2 linked regions of the Neurospora crassa OR74A genome follow. The protein of the gene in region 2 interacts with the protein of the main gene of each other region in a pairwise test. Links are inferred from orthologs where the notes say so. Each region holds a gene or a part of one and is shown on either strand. Other genes may lie near its edges.

Evidence for each region. The genes of interacting proteins can lie anywhere in the genome.
Region 1: the proteins of NCU02264 (region 2) and NCU02963 interact in binary tests that used the Saccharomyces cerevisiae proteins (3 or more experiments, as listed by UniProt). The link is inferred for Neurospora crassa OR74A from reciprocal best matches to the Saccharomyces cerevisiae genes PAC10 and GIM5.

What each region holds. Positions count from the first base shown.
Region 1 is NC_026501.1:8,560,981-8,566,231, reverse strand, and holds NCU02963 (c-myc binding protein), read left to right. Parts: upstream 1-1,916; 5' UTR 1,917-2,068; coding exon 2,069-2,090; intron 2,091-2,342; coding exon 2,343-2,504; intron 2,505-2,978; coding exon 2,979-3,088; intron 3,089-3,141; coding exon 3,142-3,259; intron 3,260-3,338; coding exon 3,339-3,394; 3' UTR 3,395-3,665; coding exon of another isoform or gene 3,666-4,077; 3' UTR 4,078-4,217; downstream 4,218-5,251. Other genes in the region: NCU02962 (hypothetical protein), read right to left, coding at 1-512, 569-758, 824-1,429; NCU02964 (hypothetical protein), read right to left, coding at 3,666-4,077, 4,218-4,448, 4,531-5,102, 5,232-5,251.
Region 2 is NC_026507.1:3,135,110-3,140,071, forward strand, and holds NCU02264 (prefoldin subunit 3), read left to right. Parts: upstream 1-2,223; 5' UTR 2,224-2,250; coding exon 2,251-2,441; intron 2,442-2,708; coding exon 2,709-2,943; coding exon of another isoform or gene 2,944-3,075; exon of another isoform or gene 3,076-3,122; intron 3,123-3,205; coding exon 3,206-3,430; intron 3,431-3,512; coding exon 3,513-3,629; 3' UTR 3,630-4,213; downstream 4,214-4,962. Other genes in the region: period clock protein FRQ, read left to right, coding at 1-1,053. UniProt on the Saccharomyces cerevisiae protein: Binds specifically to cytosolic chaperonin (c-CPN) and transfers target proteins to it. Binds to nascent polypeptide chain and promotes folding in an environment in which there are many competing pathways for nonnative proteins.

The DNA of each region.
Region 1 (5,251 bases), on a different chromosome or scaffold from region 2:
TGCAATTGTCATCAGTGTTTTGACCCTGAAAGGCGTGAATGATGCCGGGTACTTGAAGGGATAGCATTCCAACGCCATGAAGCAGTGTAGAGGAAGCGCCTTGGCTAGCGTAGTACGGTTAGAACCCAGCATGGTAGCTATCCTGAGAATCGTGGGAGGAAGGGGATCGAGAGCCCACAGCTGGGCATCCCTGAGAGGTTTGCAAAGTTCCCACTGGGCTCGCGCATTCTCCATAGGATCCCCCTGAACAATGCAAGTCAACTCCATACACTTCCAGTGTATTTCCTCGATCTTTGACTTTGGTACTGTCTTTGACCTTTCGATATAAGCAGGAACCAGGCTGGCGACATCCGGCTGGAAACTGGAGGAGTTGAGCCACTTGACACCCGGGGAAACCCCGCAAGCCTGAATAACTTCGTAGGCATTCAAATCCTCTTTGCAACGAATACAATTGCACTGGAAGTGATAGAGTCGAAGACTCTCTTGCCTTGCACGGCGAGGCATAGTGTGATCTGGCTGGCAAGTTAGAAGACGAGAAAACCCTCGCTTGCGAAAGGAATTACCATACCGATATATGAAATCAGAATCTCGTCGCCCGGTTCAAGATCCCTCTCCGCCTTGAGAAAGGCCTTGCGCTTCTCGAAAGCGATGTAGGCGTTCGGAACACAAGAGTGATTAACCATAGAAAGACTAGGGTGAAGATAGATGCCCGCCTGTCCCGTGTCGGCATCAAACCTGTTGAACGCATTCGTTTGGATCTAAGGTCGCCGCACTAGTCAGTTCACATCACACGTCGATACCCAGACTTCCACATCAAACTCACCTTGCACAAAACCTCCATAGCCTGCTTCAACGTCTCATCACTCTGCAACAAACCCGCATAAACCACCGCCCCCGTAGCCTGTAATTCGAAATCACCCCACAAGCCCTCATCAGTCTTGAACCCCTCCACATTACTCTCCAACGTACCACCAGGCCCAAACGCCTTGACAGTCTCCTCATCCCCAGCCTTCAACAACAGCATCACCTGCGCCACCGCCCTCACGGGAGTCGGCAACCAGTCCTTGCCCGTCCGCTCCTGGATTCGCTTGAACATCTTGCATTCGGCCTTATGCACCAGCTTCCAGTGCGCCCGCTGGCACTCGGCGTTGCAGTACACGGCCGCCTTGCAGCCCGTGCACGCCTTGCACGTCCGGGCCCCCGCTTCCACATCGCCCTCGAACTCGATCGTCCCGCTGACATAGAGGCAGTAGTTGCAGGTCGTCCGCATGTTGGCGTCGTCTGGGAGAGCGAGCAAGGGGTTTTCGATGATGGCGATGGTTTCGCCGGCGCCGAAGCGCTCCGTGGAGAAGAGGCTGCGGCCCCGGTCGACGCCGGGGATGCCGCCGATGCGGGTTTTGGGGATGGGAGATGGCAGTGAGGGCGCCATGATGGTGGTGCTTCTCTGCGAGTTTGGGTTGGGGTTTGTTGATGAGGTGAAGAAGAAATTCGGGTGTTTGTTTGTTAGAGGTTGCTGGGGTGACCGTTCTTATGTGTAACGCGAAAAGTTGAGGTGCCACCCGTTGATAGTGGCAACCGACGAGAAAGTTTGAAGAGAGCGAGAAGGATAAAATGCTGTTTCCAGTACAGTTTTCCGTTATACTCAACCCAGTAAGCCGCTTCGCCGTGTATTTCTCTTGGAACAAGATGGTCAGTTCGAGGATTGGCTCCTCAATGGACCTATCTATGTTGTCGAGGAAAAGTGAGAAGATGGTTGTCAGGAGAAAGTCAAGTCACTGTTTACTCGGTACTACATACCTAGGATCTCGGGCATGTACCCCGCCTGCAGCGAACAGGGGAAAGCGACGAAGCGACCCCTGGAAGCCCGCAAAATTCTGCCCCACAGAGCTGCTCTCATAGCGGGGCAACCACCTCCACGCACTACCTCTATCGTTGCTGCCGGCCCTCGTGGCCGCCCGATCAACTGGAACTGAACCTCGTTCAAACATCACATTCGGTTTTGTGAATTAGACACTCTTACATCTAGCCCATTCCTCTCTCGATTACAAACGAATAAGAAAGCGTAAAGATGTCTGGCAAGCAAGAAGGAGGTAAGTATCTCCCCTTTCACCGCTGCCCGCTCCTTTGAACCTTGCAAGCTCCCACTCATTCAAGGGAGCTTCATGTTCGCTCCTCCTCTAAAGCTCAATCAAGCTTCGAGCTCAAGCTTCACCTTACCTTCCCCATCCCCCCCCCTGGTCACCTCCCGCACTCATCTCACCCCCTTTAGTCCACACCATGATGCCGCCCCCATTCCCCGTTTGATGTTTCAATGTGTGGCAGTCACTAACAGACCTTCCCAGTCAACATTGAGAGCCTCAGCGCTCAACAACTTACCGCCGTCAAGCAGCAGCTAGACGAGGAGGTCGAGCACCTGACGGCCTCGTACACGCAGCTAGCTGCGGCGCAGGCCAAGTTCAAAGAGTGCTTGCGAATCGTGCAGACAGGAAGCAGTTCTTTTGATGGTATGTTTAGTTGACCTGTTTCCTTCATTTTTCTTTCATCTTGATGTGGTAGATGAGATGGGGTGGATCGTCTATGAGTATATTCGAAGGGCCGGGAGTTTGGGGGATGGGGATGGATTTTGTCAAGCTTCCACTTGACGGTCAACCTCTTCGTGAGCTTTTGTCTCATTCTCTGATGTGACCCGATGAGCTATCCCTTTTTTTCTCCAGTCCTCTTCATCCCACTTACAACCATAACAAACGTCTACACCTCATTTTACTTTTATCTACTCATCTCATGGCGGTGATGTCGCCATCCTCCACCTCCCCACGCCTCATATCTCCCATCCTCATATCCGATCAACACCCTTTCTTCCCACCTGCTGTTCCACCACGCCCATCCTACAATTCCATTCCCTTCATCCCGACCCAAGCCCAGCCGAACGCCTACCCTCCAGTCATGGTCACCGCTGACAACAAGACCCCATTCAACAGACAACAAAGACATCCTCGTGCCCCTCACCAACTCCCTCTACGTCAAGGGCAAGCTCTCCAACCCCGACCGCGTGATCGTCGATGTTGGTACTGGGTTCTACGTCGAAAAGGTACGTCTCTCCGCCACGAACGGCACTACATGTTATTAACTCGAAGCGTTCAGGACACCAAAAGTGCCACTGATTTCTACGATGCCAAGGTCAAGGAACTTGGCGCCAACATTCAGAACTTGGAAGCCATTGTCCAGGGAAAGACTAACAACCTCCGCGTGGTGGAAGAAGGTACGGCATTCTCCTCTTTTTCTTGAGCTGTCCGTGCATTTCAGCCATGGCATTGTTACTAACAAGAATCAACATCTAGTCTTGAGGCAGAAGGTGCTGGCACAAGGAGCTGGACCTGCATCGGCACAGGCATAGTGGAGAATCTGACTTGTTATTGTGTGATTAAGCGAAGCAAAAAAAAACAAACAAAAAACGACAAAAATACAACTTGGGCACAGCTACTTGGTGTATGTCCTCGATCTCCTTGAATACGCGTTGAGCCATTGACGATTATTATGACGACACACCCATGTATTCGAAGAACCGTTCCGCGACCTTGAGCTCAGCAGCCAAACATCACTACTTCAGCTCTTAATACCTCACCACGACAACTTTCCATCTACAACTGCTGATAGCCCGCGTCTGTCTATACAGTTCTTTCCAGCACCGTTTGGACCTTTCCAACCCAGTGCAATAAGGCATCAAGCGGGTCAAGATCCCTAGTGGGGTCAGCGGATGACATGGATGACTTGAAGAACTGTTCTGGAAACGCTTCCCAGGACCGCGGTCCGGCTGAAACGTCAGCATTGGCCATGTGGTCGTCCCACTCCGGTCGATACATGCTGACGCTCACACCAGCGACGGGCTCTTGAGGCTGTCGGCTCTTGGTGCCCGAGATAGTGCTCCACTGCCGGTACAGGGAAAGCTCAACGATGTAGTCCTTGTTGAGGTAATAGGACCAGGTCGTCTTGCCAATGAGAGCCTCAATATGGTGTTTCTGTGCGAAGGACGCCGCAATGTGAGGCTCAATACAACGGGTGTTCTCATTGTGACGAATCCTGATGCCCTTGCTCAGTGTATGTTGATCGAGTGGGAGCTTATTGCCGGTCTCATCGATGGGAGACTCGACTTTCAAGACCCAGTCGTGATTTCTGGGATGTGTTAGTTTGGCAAGGAAGTGAGAAAGATGCCGACTTACTTGTCAGGGCATGCTGTGGCAAGTTCGACACTACGGTGGCTCTTCTCTCGATGGAAGACGTTCAATGAGCCGAAAGTAAAACCACAGATTTGATTTTTATCGACGCTCACTTCCAGGTTGACATTTTTCGTCGTCACAATCACAAAGTTTTCTATGCCTTGGGGGCCTTCAAAGTCTGGATCGAGGGAGAAGGCATGTTGAATCTTTTCGCGCATTGATTCACCACCCAGTCTGAGCAGTGTTAGACATTAATCGCCTGGGAAAGCGACCAGAAAAAGGAGAACCAGAAGGGAAGACCAGAGTATACACTTACCTCATCTCCATGTAAGAAGTCCCTCTGCTGCTCACCCTGCGAGCCAACTTCGAGAACTCATCGAGCGTATAGCTCGTAGTACCCCGCTTGCGTTCTTTGAAGAACAGTTTGCCGAAAGCGATCTGCATGCGCATCCTATTGGGACAATACCGCAAGCCATCACCCACGCGGACCATCGCAGCAGCAAGATCGCTCTTGTAAGCTTGGACAGCCAAAGCATCGGCCACCTCAGTAGAGTCGGTGAGTGTCGCGGCTGGTCGAAACCATGTGGTTTCAGGGCTGTCCTGGAGAAGTATCCGTATGACACGCTTGTCGCTGCTGGGCGGAGCCACAAGTACTGAATCTCGCCAGACTGTCGCATGCCCTTCACGGAGCATCAAGCTCCTCAAGATGCTGCGTATGGCCGCCTGGGCGTTCTTGGGAGAAGCAGCGGAGATCTGGATGGGATCCTCCTGTGCTTTGAGGCAGATCCTGACACGGTGCTGTTGTTCGATCTGTTCCAAGATTGTCTTGAGCTCTCGGTCCTGGTCGTCTACAATGCGAAAGCCACGAGTTGGGACCACCAAGTCCACCTGTAGAAGAAAATATCAGTATACGTGAAATGGGGGTGAAAGCACTCTTCCTCAATAGACATAGACGTAGAACTGCGCTGCTTGAGAGAAAGGGGAAAGCTGAAAGGTACTCGCCTGAATGTTCAATACCTCAGACGCCTGGCCGCTGC
Region 2 (4,962 bases):
CGGAGGAAGCGTCGATACGATGGCGCCATCGTTTACTACACCGGCGCTCCATTTTGCACCGATCTTTCAGGAGACCCTGGCGATATGTCGCCAACAGCGCAAATGACGGCCGGCCGCGAGGTCGAAGGATCCGGATCTGGTGATGAAGTTGAACATGTGCTGCAGCGGACGTTGTCTGGATCGTCTCTTCCTATTAGGCCGCTCAGTGATGACCGGGCCCGCGTGGCCGAGGTGTTGGATTTCGACCCCGGAAACCCGCCTGAACTCGTGGCCGACGACGGTTCCTCGCCGAATGACGAGGATTTCGTCTTCCCATGGTGCGAGGATCCTGCCAAGGTTCGGATTCAGCCTATTGCCAAAGAAGTCATGGAGCCCTCTGGTCTTGGTGGAGTACTTCCTGACGACCATTTTGTGATGCTCGTCACCACTCGCCGCGTCGTCAGACCTATCCTGCAGCGGCAGTTGTCACGCTCGACAACATCGGAAGATACGGCCGAATTCATCGCCGAACGCTTGGCAGCGATAAGAACGTCGTCGCCTCTGCCTCCTCGCAGTCACAGGCTGACTGTCGCGCCGTTGCAGGTTGAATACGTCTCTGGGCAATTCCGTCGGCTGAATCCAGCCCCACTCCCTCCTCCGGCGATTTTCTATCCCCCGTTCAGTACCGATTCCAGCTGGGACGATGGCGATGATCTAGCTTCTGACGATGAAGAAGTGGAGGAGGTGGAGGAAGATTCTTACTCTGAGGGGCAGATCTCGCGCCGAGCAAATCCTCATTTCTCGGACAACAACACGTACATGCGGAAGGACGATTTGGCGTTCGATACCGAGACTGATGTGCGGATGGACAGCGACGACAATCGCTTGTCGGACAGCGGCCACAACATGCGGGCGATGATGCCGCGGGCAGAAGCGGTGGATGGGGACGACAGCCCATTGGCAGCCGTCACCGGAAAAGAGGTGGACATGCTGCACACTGGCAGCTCGGTTGCAACCGCTGGTGGGGCAGAGAGTGGCTATAGTAGTTCGATGGAGGACGTCTCATCCTCGTGAGACCTGAGTGGGTATTTTTCCTATGTGAGAAGAAGACGCGGGGAGCATACGAGAGCAAAAGGAACGCATTGCGGCTGGTGTCAGGAAATCAGGTACCGGTGTTCTCGAATTTTTGGCTTTGGCGGGCAAGCGGGTTGTTTCGAGCGCGCGGGTTCTTGGCTTTTGCCATTTTCAGGGGAGTTGCAATTGTCGCTTTTCGGGGACTCGATACGCATGATGGATATCCAACGAAGGTGATTGCCGGGTGAGGGATCTGGATCCCATGAATGGGGCGGCCATGGGTGGTGGGTGGTGGGTGGAGGGAGGGGGTGTTGAGTTGGGGACTTTTTGGGGCGTCTGGGTTAGTGTTGTTTGGATTTCAAACGGTGTGGCTTTTGGGTTTTTTTCTCTGGCTATTTTTTTATGGGGGGTTTTATCTTTCTTCTTCATCTTTTTATTTCTGATATTTTTTTCTTGGCTTCCTTGTAGATGACTCCGTGTGCAGAAAAAAACATACCTGTTTTTTTAAATTCGTATCAACGATTCGCAGTAGTAGCAGAAGGCCGGTGACATCAGTCGCAACGGGTGCACCCGTAAAATAAGGATTGGACTTGGTGGTAGGTCTGATGGGGCATGTAGTGTATATAGGATTTCAAAGTGAATCGATCACTAGTCCCGGTTCGTTGTCTCCACGATGGCCTCGCTGCCGGAACGTTTTGATGATCGAGCGGTAATCGTGGATCCCTAGGTCGGGCGTAAGACCCTCAGCGCATTATCAGCAAGCCCCTGATTAATCCAACGCTGGGCGGGCTACACAGACAGTATCAGGGTCGTCATCACAGTCCAACGGTCGGTTGTTTGTTAGCATGGGTCTTCTGATGAAGCCATCGCCAGCAGTACCATAGCACACAAAAAGACATGTACAAATATCTCAATCCAGGAAAAGACACGTCAAAAAACGAGGGCTTCACATGATCGTTTTGATTCCAAGCCTTCCCGATCCAGTGAAGCACATATGCTTGGATTCACCCGCCCAGAAACTCCCTTGACTCAAGGTCTCTCACTACCTAACAAAACTTTCCAGAGGTGAATTGTACTGTACGCGGGCAGGGGCCTGCCCCACCTTAATGAAATCGATTCGACCGGACTCCTGGCTGCAGGCGGGGGAGCGAGCTCAGCGAGGTGCGGGCGGGCAAGTCAGCCCTTGGGGTTCCATCCATGACCATATCGCACCTACCTCTACCTACGGCCCTACCTACCTACGTAAACAACGAGCTCGGCGCCAACCGAGGCACGCAAGTGGAAGCTCCCCGCCTTGATCGGTCTTTTCCTTTCCCCCTTACAACCCGACATGTAAGGTCCATACTCAGAATGGCAACCAAAGGAAAAGAAGTAGAAACTGCGGGTCGGTAAGTCAGTCCCAGTTGAACTACCTACTTACCTTACCTTACCTTACCCTACCTTGGCCAAGCATCAGAGCTTATGTTGGTGGTGACAGGACAAAGCAACGTCTTGCCCCTCTTGAACGACGAGTCTCATGTCATCACCCCTAACTTCAACAGTCGGACATGGCTCGAAGTATTCCTCATTGCTAGCATAGCCTAGCCTAGCCTAGCCTACCTATAGAAACACAAAACAAGCTGACCTGCTGCTCCCGCGTTCCGCCAAACCTACAGTGATGCCACGCCCGCGAACCCCCGAGGTATCCCCCAGGCGCCCTTCGTCGACAAGGTCGAGGACTATGTCACGTCTCGCGCGGATGTCGAACCCACCCTGAGGCGGTTCCAAGAGTTGATTGCCAAGTACCAATTCATGGAGCAGAACCTCCAGCGACGGGTGGTGGGCTTGAAGGATAAGATGCCGGATATCCAGAAGACGCTGGACACGGTGCGGTTCCTGCAGATGAGAAAGGTACGACACACACACACGCACACACGCACACACACCTCCGTCTTCAGGGCACGCGAACATACGGGCTATACAGCTAGCTATACAGCGGGCACAATACCAAATGCGCCCGGGGCGGGGGGAAAGGGTAATTGAGAACCAAAGGTCAAGGACGAGCATGAACAACAAGGACGTGGATTGATGTATGGATGGATGGACGAAGATACGGTCGCACACGAACAAGACACGCTGACAAGATCACCTTTTTACTTTGTCTGTTTTACAGGACGAATCAGACCCGATCGAAACCACATTCGAGCTCAACGAGACTCTCTACGCCCAGGCCAAGATCCCACCCACGGACGAGGTGTACATCTGGCTCGGCGCCAACGTCATGCTGTCGTATCCCATTGAGGAGGCCGAGCAGCTGCTTGACTCGAAGCTCAAGGCGGCGACGCAGAGCTTGCAGAACTGCGAGGAGGATCTGGATTTCTTGAGAGAACAGATTACGGTACGTGTTGGGCGGAGAACGCGAAGATGGTAGTTCTGTTACCGATCTTGGAACCTTGACTGACCTGAACGATGCGCCATAGACGATGGAAGTTGCGGTTGCCAGAGTGTACAACTGGGACGTCGTGCAGAAGAGGAAAGAGAAGGAGGAGGAGGAGAAGACAAAAGGAAAGAAGAGCGAGACGGCGTCGGACGGTTGAAGAGGAGATTAGGTCTAATACAGAAAGCGAGGAGATAATGCACCATCACGAAATGCCATGGGAGCGAACGACGGTTGAAGAATGTCTAATAGAGGGAGGCCGGCCGAGGTTGCTGCTGGCCGCGATCATGTGAGACGAGGTTCACGATGGCTTGGTAAGTTGGACTTGATTTGAAAGCAACATGATAGCGAACGATACCTCACAGATATTCTGCGTCGTATTACGCTCAGTAGCCATTTGTTCACGAGACAAAGGAACAAGGGCCACGCAAGCGGTTTGTCGTTTTGGAGAGACTGAAGTGGGACTGGCGAGATGAGGTTCGCTCTGGCCTAGGTCAAGGCTACGACCTCGAGAGATTAAAGAGAATTTGAGTTTGGCGGCCTCCAACGCCCATAGCCTCATGATCAAGGCACGATGATGACTTTTTATATTTCCCGCCCGGGTTCTTGGTTGTGATGGAAGTTACTGTCTATCACTTGGCTACAAGAGAGATCGACGCTATGGCTCATTGTTTAGATTGTCACGATACCTACCGCAAACATACACCGAGATAGCCTTACAACGTTACCAAAAGCCAATCCGAGGAGATCACGTGGCTGAGGGGGCGAGTTTGTCTGGTTGAGTTGTAGTGTAGTCGCGGATCGATCGTCGCCATCGTTTATCAAGTGGTGTACATACCCAAGTCTTATCCAGTCGAGACAGTCAGATGGGCGGGGGGCCAATGCGCATGTAGGCAGGGCGCTCGGGCGGCCGTTGACCTGTCTGTTTCGCTGTCAGTGTTTTGTCAAAAGTGAGCCACCCCCGCCCCCCTGGAAACTGAAACCCCTATTTCGGGAGTGAGGAAGCACATCTGTGGTCTTGACCGCCATGACGACGGCATTCGTTTCGGAGACGGGGTCCCGAGTCTTTTGACTCTGTCTCTGTTTGGTACGGCGGCAGGCGAACGGCAGACCAGGCCCGACCTGAATACTGGATGAGGTGCCCTGCGCCAACAGCAGAAAGCAGCTTAGCGGATGGGGCCCCAACGTCGGGTCCCAAGCGGGCAGGCGGCCCCCAGGGGCAGGCGGAATCTCAGGGGCCCCGGCCCTCTGCAACGGAACCCCAATTAAACGATCTCCATCACGGGCGGGCTCCGGCCTCCTTCCCCTTCCTGCCTGCCTGCCTGCCTTGACTCTGTAGACTCAACTGTGTACCCTTTCCCCTTCGGATCAACCCTTTTTGCCACGACTCAGCTGCGTTATCCATCTCCTATAACGCTACCTTACTTTCCAAGTTTGTACACATCATTGTCGTCTCTTCATTGTCTCCTGCCTCAGCTTCATAATACCCAACC